2 linked regions of the Danio rerio genome follow. The main gene of each other region encodes a partner of the protein of the gene in region 2 in a complex. Links are inferred from orthologs where the notes say so. Each region holds a gene or a part of one and is shown on either strand. Other genes may lie near its edges.

Region 1 (7,112 bases), on a different chromosome or scaffold from region 2:
GGAGAAAATTAAAATTTCCATTCATTCCCTGTCATTCGCCGGTGGTCCTGGCCAGCGATAACTCGGTCATCAAAGCCACAGGGGATGCCGCTCAGCAGTCAACAGTTTGGGCGTGCTGAGTGGGCAAGTTTTCGAGGTATTGGTCAGATGGTGGGGTGCAGGTAGGAGCCCGTTTTCCCTCTTGTCCCATGACGCCTCTGGCCAAAGCCCATACCCATCAGAAACAAAGACGAAGAGATTCATCACACACGAGATGAATAGCGATCCCTTCAAATGTTAATGTCTCTGACGTCTGTGGGAGTGCAAGAGAGGTCCACGTCCTCCTCGACCCTTTTGGTCTCTGTGGAGATGTGCTGCTGAGCTTGTCTGAGACTCGATTCCAGCAGGGACTCGATCTGTTCCTGACACGATCGCAGACAGTCCTGTGGAAGAAAGTAAAAAGTTAGTAACAGGGACACAGAAATTGACTTGCTGGGAATAATGCATGGAAGGTGGCGCTACTTACAGGGTCACTTCTGATGACTTGCGAGAGGAAGTTGGTGAGGTTCTGGGATGAGAGGCAACTGTCGGTGCTTTTCAGGTACAGTCCTTGTACCGCTGCAGCAACACTGCCTGCTGCAATCATGGAGGGAGGGCTTGCGATGAAGTTGACGTCTGAAAATAAAAAGGGGACTCTGGTCAAACCTAAGGACGTTCTCAGAAAGTAACTAGCCAACAGAATAAAACTCATTATGAGGAATACTGCTTGGGTTCATAATGAAGCATAGCATGACTAAACTATAATGAGAGCAGGGTTGGTAGGGGACAGTCCGTGACATTTGAGGCCATTCTGCAGCGGGGCTCAAAGCCTTCGGGGGAGGCAGAGAACTTTGCTGTAGGTCCTGAGCAAGCTACCCCCTACACAGCCCTCTCATTCTCAAAACATCCCATAAATCATGCCTCTTTGTGCACGTTAATACTAAAAGTGCATGGAAATCTTAGGATTTCAAGATTTTAACATTTCCTGCTTTAGAAAACCCATACCCATCACAACAACTTCCTAAAAATGGCTTCGGAGCACTCATAACCCTCACACATCCATTAAGCAGAGCTTATAAATCAAAGCCACCTCTTGCCCTTATATTCTCACTTTGCACTTCGCCCACACATGGAGAATAGAGAAATACAACTGCCTTTCTAATAGGAAGTCATCTAGCACTGCTAGCTCAGAGACGAGAGGGCAATTGTCAAGACAAATTGAGCATAAAGGCACAGGAGCCTTCACCCCAGCCCATTCATTTCATTCACCAGCACCCACCCCTTCCCAGTATCCATCCAACCACACTCTCCCTGGCTAAGATCCCAGGCTACTTCCCAAAGAAATGCGGGTCATAAACATAAAAGTGAAGCGAGCTGTGGTGATACCCACCATGTAAATGGAGGAACAAAAAGAGTATACCCAAGTAGTTCCTTCCTGAAACATTACTGGCCTACTCTGGCAGGTGATAAACTGACTGCTGTAGGTTGCTCGACAATGAGGTGTAAGGTCAAAAAGTGGATTTGCAGCCTTACCCCGAAGCAAACACTCTAACTAAAAGGGTACCTGGACATCAAGATGTCTAGACATGGGAAAATATCAGGTTACAAAGCCCTTTTCACAGGGAAAATGTCAGAAAACTACTTCCGCTTTTTGGTTCACATGCACTGTGTGCACAGAAGCGGTATCGTGAAGCAGGCAGGGCTTCTCAGAAGCTCTGGAGCAGTCAGCAATCACCACAAAAGGAAACAGACTTCCTCTCTCTTTGCAGAGCCTCTCACTGGTTTACAATAACTGTGAGTATGGAATTAGGACAAGCAAGATGGCTCGTTCAATTGCAATAAAGAAGTCTGCCTGAAAGTAAAACACTGTGAGGGAAGGATCTTCAATGCATGACCATGATAAAGTGCTCAAAACTTTTGCAAAGTTACCGAAACAAAATAAAAGTGAGCTCAAAAGTACAAACATACCTGTCGCACAGAGGGCCACAAAGGTCTGGGCGTGTTTGCGCAGTATCTGCTTGGAGCTCTGATGTATAGGCAGTTTGGCAAGGAAGTGTTCAATGAAATCATGTGGTGTCACTGAGGCCAGATCCCACTTCAGTTTATTTAGCGCCAGCAGTTCCATTTGCTGCGAGGGAGATATAAAATGGTCCAAGTTTACATAAAGCCCCAGACGATTTTTCCATTTCAGATTTTACACTCTTTGAACGCTAGATGGAGATGTCGATTAATTGCACAATAACGCAAGGCCTACGTTCAATTAACGCACACATCAAAAGCACCAACAATTTGTAACATGTACTGTTATTTACAGATATCTGTGGGTGCCTTAACACTTTGATAAACTCATTTAGCTCGTTGTTTCATGCAATACCTTAACGTATAGGTCTTTGAGCAAAATGACCTTCAATTGCATTATTTTACTTTAATTCAGCACAAAAAAAAAAAAAAAAAGAAAACAATATCAAGCTGCTAAATTAAAGAGTATTAAACATTTACCAATAATTCGCCGGGACGGACAGAGTTGTCCGTGTATATGCACAACTTCTCTGCTGTAAGTGGCACAGTCTCTTTCATTTTTGAAGCCAGAAACATACAAGTTGCTCCTAAAAGCTGCAACCTGGTTTTTTTGGTGGGCTCCACAGATAAAAACCTGTCCAGGTAGTTCATAGCCAAAGGAAAAACTTCCTCTTCACATTTCTGCTCTTCACAGACCTTTAAAGAAAAGAAAGTGCATACGATAAATAAATATTAAGTCACAACAGCAGCTAATTCTTTTAATTAAACGTGTAGAAATATATAAATAAAAAAAAATAAAAAATAAAAATAAAAACTATTCATAGAAATTTATTAAATAAACGAAGTGCAAATATTTTTTAAGCTACAGTATGCTTTGATCTTATCGAGTTATCCCACGTGTTTAGCATCTGCTGATTCGTACACGTGCAGTGGAAAGGGTTAAATTAGAAAAAAAAGACACGTGGAAATGCTTAAAAATAGTATTTAATCAGTAATTTAAGTTTAATCCTAAGTGTTGCACAAAGTATAAATGTTACAATTTGCTTCTGATGCTAATGGTCGTTGCTTTCGAGGCAAAAAGGTGGCGTCTGAGCTCGGTTCAGGAAACAATTTTCTAGTTCGTCATCTTTTCAAAAAATATTTAAAAATATACGAAAATTGTTTTGCTTGACTTTAAACACATGTAAATGTACTGTAACTCATGCTTTATTAGATTATGCAAAAATATTTCGATTGCAATGACAAAAACTACGTGAAATGAACTGAAATCCAAAGCCCCATCATACAAAGGGAAGCATGCGACATTTAGGTGAAGCGGGTGTTTCATAAATTAATATAAATTATTCCTTAGCATTAAATCTACTGTTAAACATCTGTAAATCCACATTATTAGAGGGTTAACATAATCCGATAGGTTATAACACGATGTTGAATTCAGAAATGAAATAATACAATATTTTTAGACCGTCGTGCAGGAGGTATGACAAACTGAAACAAAACTTTTAAGACACAAATATTACGTTTTCTTGCAAAAATTTGATTTATGTTATACCTGTGATTTAAAAGACAACTTGTGAGCGCTTTTATGCAGGTGATGTCAATTATGTTTCCATTTTAGAATTTAGAGAAATAAAAAACTTAAGCAAACGACAACAAAGATGGCGTATAATAGGCTACTGGCACGAGTGAGAATGCATACGTGTACATTGGTATTAAAATAAAATAAAAATAAATAAATGTATCTATATTTTAAAATATTTATAAGAAACGAAACGCATGCATGAAAAAATAACAACCCTAAATAAAAAGGCTAAAGCGGAAAGCACGGAAAACGTCTCGTGTCGGATTAATATTTCGTAATAAAACATTTTTACGTAAAAAATAAGCAACAATAATCGGACAGCGTGTTTCTGTGTGATATTTCTGGGATGGATAAGCAATGCCGATGAACCCAAGTCACACTAAAGCATTTTTTTTCATTTAATAAATACTTCTTGGAGTCCAAAGAGCAAGAGTAGAATCATCGTGAGGCAACGTGTGTAGCAGCAAATGCAAAAAAAAAGAGATATATAAATATATTATCCAAAACAAACCTCGAGCATCCACGTCGCGACGATTTTCCTCATTTTAGGCACAATTTCTTTCTGAACACACTTGAAATAATTTGGTGATGGGAGATAGTTTTCCTCAGCTTTAAGCATTGTCTGTAAAACTCGGTCATTCAACAGGTTGCTGTCTTGGTAAGCTCTTCTTATGGTATCCACTTCGCAGCAAAACAACTGGTGCTCCATATCTTCAGTGTTTAGCAGTGAGAAAAGTAAGAAAGCTGGAGCTCGAGTCGGACACTGGTCCCGTGGATGCTTTTTGCTGCCTCTGCTGAACCCTCTAAAAGTCTCGCTGCAGCTCTCCGCTTGACAAAACTCCCCTATGACGTGACTGTTGTTAAGGGAAGATCAAAGCAGCAGCAGCGAGCCTGTGAGAGAGCGAGAGGCTGTCTGCTCAGGGCGGAGGATCAATCTAAAGAACTATCTGCTTCTCAGTTTTGGCTCCTTTCTTTAGCCCTATGGAAATAGGAGGTCCTACGCCGGGTGACGAGTGACCAAGGAGAAGCGGTGGTGGGGGTAGGCTGGGCCGGGGTGGGGGCGCAGGGGGCAGGCTGCTAGTGTCGTGGGTATCGGGGGTGGAAAAGACTGGGGTGAAGATGTGTATTGGGTTAGTATTGGTAGGGGGCAGTATAATAGCCTAAATCAAGGTGCCCACACTGTCGCATTGAAAAACTTTTGTCACTGTAATTGTACAAGCATATATCAAAAGTTTTATTTGTAAAATAAATTTGGTCACAGTCACTTGTCTGCTTTTAAAATCAGGCTTTTAAAATGTTTTTAAAAGATTTTGGATTACTTTATGAAGTTTCATATAGCTAAGTTTCTGCACAAACTTGAATGTGGTTTCAGTAGGCTATATATGAAACAAATGTGTGGTCTTGGGTGGAGGCTTGTTTTATTTTTTTGTTTCTTTTTGGGGGGTTAGACTTAAAGAAGGAAGCACAAATTAGCCTAAACCAATGGAGGAGCACGTCAGTTGCCAGGCAGAACTGCGGCACGAGCTTTTATCTAAAAAAAAACTCCTCGTGGAAATGTTAAATAAACAAAATAAATTGTTAAAATTAATCATGTGAAGCATTCTTCTTGTCGTATTTAATAATACATTTCCTTAAATCTCATTTAACTTTTTTTTTTCTCTTTGTACACCAAAACATTAAATATTTCAAATAATAAAATAATACAAACAATAAAGTAGTTATAATATTTAGACTCGGAAACAAACCGCGTTAAAAGAAAACATTAGCTCACCGGTAAAGTTTAAACACGACATCTGCAGCTTTAACAACACAAATTGTTTGATAGAGTTTGATCAAACAGGGGCGCTCTCACTTTAAAAGACCTCACTGCTGTCGCTTCAGGATGAATTGAAGCTTTACAAATTCCGCACATTCCACTTCAATACCGTAAAACAAGTAATTTGCCTGTGCCCAAAACTTCAGCTGCAGAAAGAAGCTACAATAAAGTAACAACTTTAAATGTTAATAAATGTATTATAAGCTTATTATGCTATAATAGCAGCTAAGTTACTGTATTAAGTTCTATTACTTTAAACCTTTTTGAGAACATGCATATTAAAGAAAAAATATAACTTTTATTTTTACAGAAAAGACAAAGACAAAAAACTTTAGAGTTGCAGAAATAAGCTAGAGTAAAGGAACAACTTTAAATGTTACATGGATTTAAGTGTTCTCACAAGTCATTTACATAAGCATATCAACAACACTCTGTGTATATATATATATATATATATATATATATATATATATTTATTTATTTATTATATATTTAGTAGCAAACAGGCTAGTACGTTCATTCTAAGATCAAAAGTTATTTTATTAGCATAGTATAATATTATCTTAGGCTATAATAGCAACTGTTATTAGGCTACTGTATTATTTACTATTACTTTAAACCTCTATAAGAACATGCATATAATGGAATTTTGTATTTTTTTTTTTTTTTTACAGAAAAGACAAAGACCAAAACGAGTTGCAGAGAGAAACTAGAATACAAGAAAAACTTTAAATGTTCCACTGATTTAAGTTTTTTTCCCCCACACGTCATTTTACATATAGACATATCAACAATGCTCTTTAAATATTAGGCAAATATATTAATTAATTTAATAGCAAACAGTAGTTTAGGCTGTTCATTATAAGATCAAAAATTACTTTATTAGATTACTTTAATAATATATCAGGCTATTATATGACACTGTATTACTTACCATTATTTTAAACGTCTATAAGAAATGGCATTTGAAAGAAAATAATTCTTTTATGAACTTTCTTTTTCTTTGCATAAAAGACAAAGACTTTTTATGCGTTTTCTTTCACGTTTCATTATGTCCATTATAAAATTAGCTGAACGAGTTCATGTTAGGATAAATGTAGTCCTTTAGAAGGCTGATAATAACAAAAGGTAACAGTAATCAGTTTATTTTACAATACATAAAAAAAAAACGTATTAAAACTTTACATTTTTCGTTTTTACTTTTAAAGCCTACCTGCTAAGATTCTGAGATCCGCCTATCAAAACAATAAATCAGAAGTTGTTTTAGGAAACTTTCGAACTAAATAAACAGTAAATAATTGCTTCAACATGTCAGAAAGCTTTCTTGGGCTACAAAAGTTTTGCTAACAATGAATGAGCGACCATGTGAGTTTTTCTTGCGCGTGCATTACAAAACATACGGCAAGCGAATAGGAAGTTGCTGTTCTCCAGCCCAATCGGAAACCATTCTTGTCTGTTAGCTGCATAGCCTGCAGTGCATGTACATGTGAAGTTATACTTCGCTGTTGAAGTCACTCGTTTACAAATTATTAAGATGTTTACTGTGGATTTCCGATGTAGTCCGCAAAGGACTAATCTGATCAGTTATTAGCCTAACCTGAAAGCATTAACACTTTAAATTTCTTCTTGAGCTTCATAGACAAAGGCTGTATGTGTTTGGAGAAAAATAACATATGG
Region 2 (7,071 bases):
GTGTGTACCTGACGATGTTGGGATGGTCGAACTGCTCCAGGCGCTTCAGCAGAGCCACCTCTCGAACCGTGGACAGTGGGAGTCCGTCCTGATTGGTCTGCACCCGAACGCTCTTCAGCGCCACAAACTGCCCGCTGTCCCGATCCCGAGCCTTATAGACGGTCCCGTAAGCCCCGCCCCCGATCTCTGCTACTGGCTCATACTGCAGCCCCACCTCCTGCGCCATCTGCAAACACACACACATTACTGTGCCATCACCTGATGCACGCGCACACAAGTTCCTCTGCAGGCATCATTACCTGCACAAACATACACACGCTCACACACCTGTACACACACACACACACACCTGTACATGTGCACACACTGCTGTCAGTATGTGTGTGTGACTCTGCTGTAAGACAGAAACATCAGTTTTAGCTGTATTAAGACAAACCTGCACACACACACACACACACACACACCAGTTTCTCCACATTTACTCAACAGCTCAGTTGTGTGGCGCTGCTGGTTGTGTAAACAGGCCACAAACACACAAACCCAGAGCCTGAAAGCACATCACCATCACTAGAGCCAGAACAACCTCGAACACACTCTGTGTGTGTGTGTGTGTGTGTGTGTGTGTGTGTGTGTGTGTGTGTGTGTGTTAATACGCACACTTTGATTCTCCTCTTTCTTAATATAAGACTTCTCTGATGATCATTAGTGTGACATACAGACATGTAGGCTGTCATTGATCTAAATAAACTGTACACACACACACACACACACACACACACACACACAGTAAAGCAAGCAACACTGCATTTCTGCTGCCCAGCGCTGCACCATTACAACATTTCCCCACAAAAAACTTCCTAAAATGTCAAAAATTGACTTTATTTTTAAACATTTTCCATATTTGAGTGTTTGGTGGATGATGATGACCTGTAATTTACTGCTTCTCACACACAACATGTAAATATATATATATATATTTGGTGCATCAGTAAAGCTGGCCACTGTGCGCTGTTCATCCTCCCTCCTGTTTAATGTTTATAAGTGTGTGATAATTGTAGAAGTGTTTCAGTGAGGTTAACTCTGTGTTCATAGTATAAGAGAGCGTGTTTTTCTTAATAACTGTACATTTTCTTTGATATGACACCACACAGGCTCCTTATATTGATGTGTGTGTGTGTGTGTGTGTGTGTGTGTGTTCAGTAGAGCTCCTGCAGTTGTCTTCTCCGTGTTCTGCACTCTTCAGCTCAGCGGCAGTGTGAGGATGTGTTTACCCGCTGCTGCTGGAGGAGTGTGTCCTGCACCGCTGTAATGAGGTAAACTGTGGTAAAGCGCTGTTAGTGCTGGCCGGAGCTGCTCATTCCCAGGAGGAGCAGAACAACATCAGTCACAATCACGACACTCACAGACTCAACAACACAACAACAACAACACGTCATCAAACACATCCACCGAGCTGAACCAGCATAATCGAGACATCATAACACGGGTCATTACGAGCACTGTATATACTGAACACACACACACACACACACACACTTCTGAGCACTCACCACGTTTCTCCGCGCGTGCACAGCTAGTTAAACTAGTTTATGAGAGTGCAGCGCGCATCGCTTCTGCTCCGCGGCGCTCAGATGCGGGCTGTTGTGCGGAGTTTGCTGTTGACTGAGGATTTCAGTTCATATTTCAGAAGTTTAACTCATTAAAGTTTGTGTGAGAAACTCTGGCCTGTTCACAGTCTGTCTCAACTCACTTCCTGTTTGATCTCAAGGCGGAGCGACACGACTAGACCCTCACACACTTCAGCCAATCACAACACACTTCCAGCAGTCACCTAACACACTTACACCAGTAAACTTACCTCACTAGCACACTTACACCAGTAAACTTACCTCACTAACACACTTACACCAGTAAACCTCAATATTACCCTAATAAACGACTTGAACTGCATCCCCACATCAGCAGACATTGGGTGAGTGTGAACACGTGTGCTGTGAGTTGTGTTTGACTGCAGGTAATTCAGCACACATGATTAATGTGCTCCTCATCATTTATGTTGTGTTTTCTGAATAAACACTTTGCAGTTTGGGTTCCACTGTCGCCTCACAGCAAGAAGGTCGCTGGTTTGAGTCTCGGCTGGGTCAGTTGGTGTTTCTGTGTGGAGTTTGCATGTTCTCCCCGTGTTGGCGTGGGTTTCCTCCAGGTGCTCCGGTTTCCCCCACAGTCCAAACACATGCGCTATAGGGGAATTGGGTAGGCTAAATTGTCCGTAGTGTATGAGTGTGTATGGATGTTTCCCAGAGATGGGTTGCAGCTGGAAGGGCATCCGCTGCGTAAAAAATATGCTGGATAAGTTGGCGGTTCATTCCGCTGTGACGACCCAAGATTAATAAAGGGACTAAGCCGAAAAGAAAATAAATAAATGAATGTTTCCTGCAACACATTTCAGAAACAGCTGCATCAGTGAAGCGTTTCCCACTCTGTCATGCTGCCGCTCCTCTTCACAACACTCAGAGACGTTTAGGGACTGAAGACGGCGAGTGCTGAAGTGTTTCAGGGATAATTCTGTCTCATTCCTCCTGCAAACAAGTCTTAGTGTAGGCAACAGTACAGCGCCACACATTCTCTATTGGAGACAGGTCAGGACTGCAGGCAGGTCAGTCCAGCGTCTGTCTCCTCTGGAGCATCACAGAAGAGCAGGTCACCTTCGCCAAGAGCACCGACACAACCCCAGACCATGACAGAGCCGGGCTGCTGGACGTGTTGCTGGTGTCAGTCTGGATGATCCTCTTCTTCTTTGGTGTGGAGCACACGGCGTCCATTTCTCCCAGAAACACCTGAAACACTGCTTCATCTGAGCACAGGACACGTCTCCACTGTGTGATGCTGCATCCCAGACGCCTCCCAGCCCAGAGAAGCGCTGCTGGACACTGTTAACATAGGGCTTCCTCTTGGCACAGTGCAGTGTTGGCTGGTGTTTGTGGATGTGACTCTGTATTGTGCTGCTTGTCACAGGTTTAGCGCAGTAGTGCTGAGCCCATGTGCTGATCTGCTTATAGATGAATGAAGATTCTTGATTTGTAGTAAAGCTACATCACCAACACACGTCATCAGCATATGATAATGTGCATTTCTGTGAGGGCGAGGCCACAGACACTCTTATTAACCTGAGAGAAAATTAAATGAAAATGTGTGTGTCCAGCAGGTGTCAGCAGTGTGTGTTGTGTTTCCTCTGTCTCAGCAGGTACAGACAGGTGAAGGCCTCATCATGTGCTGGGTTAGATGTGGTTGTGTTAGGGTTATTAGATCCTGAAATCTCAGATTGCACATAACATCAGCTGTGAGTCAGTAATGTGTGCAGTCTCAGGACAGACACTGACGCGTCACTCAACCAGAACAGAAGATACTTTGAAGAATGTTGAACACCTGTAGCCATTCACTTCCATTGTAGGAAAATAAATACTGTAGAGGTCAATGGTTACAGGTTTTCCTTTGTGTTCAACTGAAGAAAGAAACTCATTAAGGGTTTGAAATGCCTGAGGAAGTGTGTATGATGACAGTGTTAAAGTTATGTGTGAACTAACCCTTTAAAGGCACTTCATCAGACTGAGCAGTGAGTGTGATGGGCGAGAGAGGATCGACACAGTGAACTCAGATTAGAGAAAGCTGAGAGCGGAAGTGGAGCGCTGCCTCCGCCTGCTGAACGTGTAGATTTCACTTCTGCTCCATCTCCGAGCTCTTCAGTCTGCACACACACACACACACACACACACTCACACACACTCACCATGGCCTACCAGCTGAAACTGGCGGAGAAGCTGCTGATCCTCCGTGACCGTGGGCAGGGTGTGCTGGTGCGCATCAACCACATCAAGAAGGTGAGCGGAGCCGCTTCTGAAGTCCTCAGTCCAGATCCACACGCTGAAACCCTCTGCTTTATACGTTCCTGCTGCTCCTCACTGTGGACCTGACTGAGCGATGCTGGAAACAGTGTCCGGTGTAGTCTAACAGATCTTAGAAATGAGGGATATGTCTGTCTGCTCTGAGAACTGCTCTGTGTACAGCTGTTCAGACACGCGTGCTCGTCTTCTTCATATAATACACCTGCATTATTCACCTTAAAGAGTCGTAATGGCAGCATCAGTGGCAGGAAGCGGCTTCACTGCTCTGTGTTTTTCATTGGTTTATGATGTGTGCTCTTCTGTTCTGGTTTTCTTCATGTAGTTTGGAGAGTTTGTGCTGTGTTTTCTGCTTTGTGTTTTCTGAAGAAAGTCATGTTGAGTGTCAGTTTTGGAGAGAAAGAGGAAGTGCATGCAGGAAGTGAACGGGACTGTGAAAACCACATCTCTGTTTCTCTCTCTCTCTCAAAGACAGACACACACACACACACACACACACACACACATACACACACACTCAGCTTCAGAACAGTGTTACACAGTGTTTCATGTCCATCTATATAACACACACACACACACACACACACACACACTACTCAATACTCAGACACACTCGGCTCGCCTCCTGTTTTTCACATACTATACAGTAGGGAGGCATGTGACATAGACATATAAGGCGTCTAGAGCTCAAGCATGATTCCTCAAGTCAGCGTATCAGTGTGTGTGCGGTCGTCTGTAGTGTCTGAATCTATGATGAGCTGTACAGGGTTGGATATCCTGCTAATTGTTTACACCTGTGTCTTCTCAGTCCAAATCCTCGTCTCTCCATCAGTCTTTCATTGCTGTGTTTGACTTCAAAAGCATGTTGTGGTGAACTTTGACAGACTAGGCATCAACAGGTGTTATTGTTCTCAGGATGGCGCATCTCATATAATGATTAAAACTTATTATCGGGTTATAAGGAGATATAGAGTGTATTGTCAGCATAACAGTGGTCTCAAAGGTCATCTCACGTCTCCCTAAGGTCATCACTAGTCTATAAAGGTCATTGCTAGTCTCTCAAAGGCCATTACTATTATGTAAAGATCATAACTAGTCTCCCAAAGGTCATCACTAATTTGTAAAAGTCATCACTAGTCTCTCAAAGGTCATCGCTGGACTCTAAAGTTCATTACTAGTCTCCACAGGTTATCACTGGTTTCCCAAAGATCATCACTAGTCTGTAAACATCATCACTAGTCTGTAAAGGTCATCACTAGTCTGTAAAGGTCATCACTAGTCTGTAAAGGTCATCACTGGTCTCTCAAAGGTCATCACTAGTCTGTAAAGGTCACCACTAGTCTCTTAAAGGTCATCACTAGTCTGTAAAGGTCATCACTAGTCTGTAAAGGTCATCACTAGTCTGTAAAGGTCATCACTGGTCTCTCAAAGGTCATCACTAGTCTGTAAAGGTCACCACTAGTCTCTTAAAGGTCATCACTTGTCTGTAAAGGTCATCACTAGTCTGTAAAGGTCATCACTAGTCTGTAAAGGTCATCACTGGTCTCTCAAAGGTCATCACTAGTCTGTAAAGGTCACCACTAGTCTGTAAAGGTCATCTCTAGTCTCTCAAAGGTCATCACTAGTCCTACAAAGGTCATCACTTGTCTGTAAAGGTCATCAGTAGTCCTACAAAGGTCATCACTTGTCTGTAAAGGTCATCACTAGTCTCTCAAAGATCATCACTTGTCTGTAAAGGTCATCACTAGTCTGTAAAGGTCATCAGTAGTCCTACAAAGGTCATCACTTGTCTGTAAAGGTCATCACTAGTCTGTAAAGGTCATTACTAGTCTCTCAAAGGTCATCACTACTCTGTAAAGGTCATCAGTAGTCCTACAAAGGTCATCACTTGTCTGTAAAGGTCATCACTAGTCTCTCAAAGGTCATCACTAGTCTGTAAAAGTCATCACTAGTCTGTAAAGGTCATCACTAGTCTCTCAAAGGTCATCACTAGTCCCTCAAAGGTCATCACTAGTCTGTAAAGGTCATCACTAGTCTCTCAAAGGTCATCACTAGTCTGTAGAGGTCATCACTAGTCTGTAAAGGTCATCTCTAGTCTCTCAAAGGTCATCACTAGTCCTACAAAGGTCATCACTTGTCTGTAAAGGTCATCAGTAGTCCTACAAAGGTCATCACTTGTCTGTAAAGGTCATCACTGGTCTCTCAAAGGTCATCACTAGTCTGTAAAGGTCATCACTAGTCTCTCAAAGGTCATCACTAGTCCCTCAAAGGTCATCACTTGTCTGTAAAGTTCATCAGTAGTCCTACAAAGGTCATCACTTGTCTGTAAAGGTCATCACTGGTCTCTCAAAGGTCATCACTAGTCTGTAAAGGTCATCACTGGTCTCTCAAAGGTCATCACTAGTCTGTAAAGGTCATCACTAGTCTCTCAAAGGTCATCACTAGTCTGTAAAGGTCATCACTAGTCTGTAAAGGTCATCACTAGTCTCTCAAAGGTCATCACTAGTCTGTAGAGGTCATCACTAGTCTGTAAAGGTCATCTCTAGTCTCTCAAAGGTCATCACTAGTCCTACAAAGGTCATCACTTGTCTGTAAAGGTCATCAGTAGTCCTACAAAGGTCATCACTTGTCTGTAAAGGTCATCACTAGTCTCTCAAAGATCATCACTTGTCTGTAAAGGTCATCAGTAGTCCTACAAAGGTCATCACTTGTCTGTAAAGGTCATCACTAGTCTGTAAAGGTCATTACTAGTCTCTCAAAGGTCATCACTAGTCTGTAAAGGTCATCAGTAGTCCTACAAAGGTCATCACTTGTCTGTAAAGGTCATCACTAGTCTCTCAAAGGTCATCACTAGTCTGTAAAGGTCATCACTAGTCTCTCAAAGGTCATCACTAGTCCTTCAAAGGTCATCACTTGTCTGTAAAGGTCATCAGTGGTCTCTCAAAGGTCATCACTAGTCTGTAAAGGTCATCACTAGTCATCAATAGTTTGTTAAGGTCATCACGAGTCCCCCCAAAGGTCATCATGAGTTCCCAATTGCTCTGCTTTTATTTTGCAGAGTTGAACCCATTGCACTTCTTCTTATTTTGTTTTGTAGCTATGCATCTATATATGTTCAGTGTATATGTACATTCATTATTTCAGGTTTTCTCAGACCCAAAGCGAAGACCTT

The links. Proteins that work in one complex are often made in the same cells at the same time.
Region 1: the proteins of cdk4 (region 2) and ccnd1 are in contact, whole or in part, in a crystal structure (PDB 2W96), measured with the Homo sapiens proteins. The link is inferred for Danio rerio from reciprocal best matches to the Homo sapiens genes CDK4 and CCND1. Residues at the interface, in NP_000066.1 of Homo sapiens: Gly45, Gly48, Leu49, Ile51, Thr53, Val54, Arg55, Val57, Ala58, Leu59, Arg61, Arg62, Ala65, Phe66, Asp76, Val77, Cys78, Ala79, Arg82, Ile87, Val89, Asp129, His132, Ala133, Asn134, Cys135, Ser285, Phe287, Arg288; in NP_444284.1 of Homo sapiens: Leu6, Cys7, Cys8, Glu9, Val10, Thr12, Ile13, Ala30, Lys33, Ala34, Thr37, Phe108, Lys112, Met113, Glu115, Pro118, Leu119, Thr120, Ala121, Leu138, Gln139, Glu141, Leu142, Val145, Asn146, Lys149, Trp150, Asn151, Leu152, Ala153.

What each region holds. Positions count from the first base shown.
Region 1 is NC_133182.1:69,630,353-69,637,464, forward strand, and holds the start of ccnd1 (G1/S-specific cyclin-D1), read right to left. Parts: upstream 4,608-7,112; 5' UTR 4,329-4,607; coding exon 4,131-4,328; intron 2,734-4,130; coding exon 2,518-2,733; intron 2,147-2,517; coding exon 1,987-2,146; intron 655-1,986; coding exon 506-654; intron 423-505; coding exon 270-422; 3' UTR 1-269. UniProt on the Homo sapiens protein: Regulatory component of the cyclin D1-CDK4 (DC) complex that phosphorylates and inhibits members of the retinoblastoma (RB) protein family including RB1 and regulates the cell-cycle during G(1)/S transition.
Region 2 is NC_133186.1:163,557-170,627, forward strand, and holds the start of cdk4 (cyclin-dependent kinase 4), read right to left. Parts: upstream 3,789-7,071; 5' UTR 3,788-3,788; exon of another isoform or gene 3,484-3,787; intron 1,757-3,483; exon of another isoform or gene 1,551-1,756; intron 227-1,550; coding exon 9-226; intron 1-8.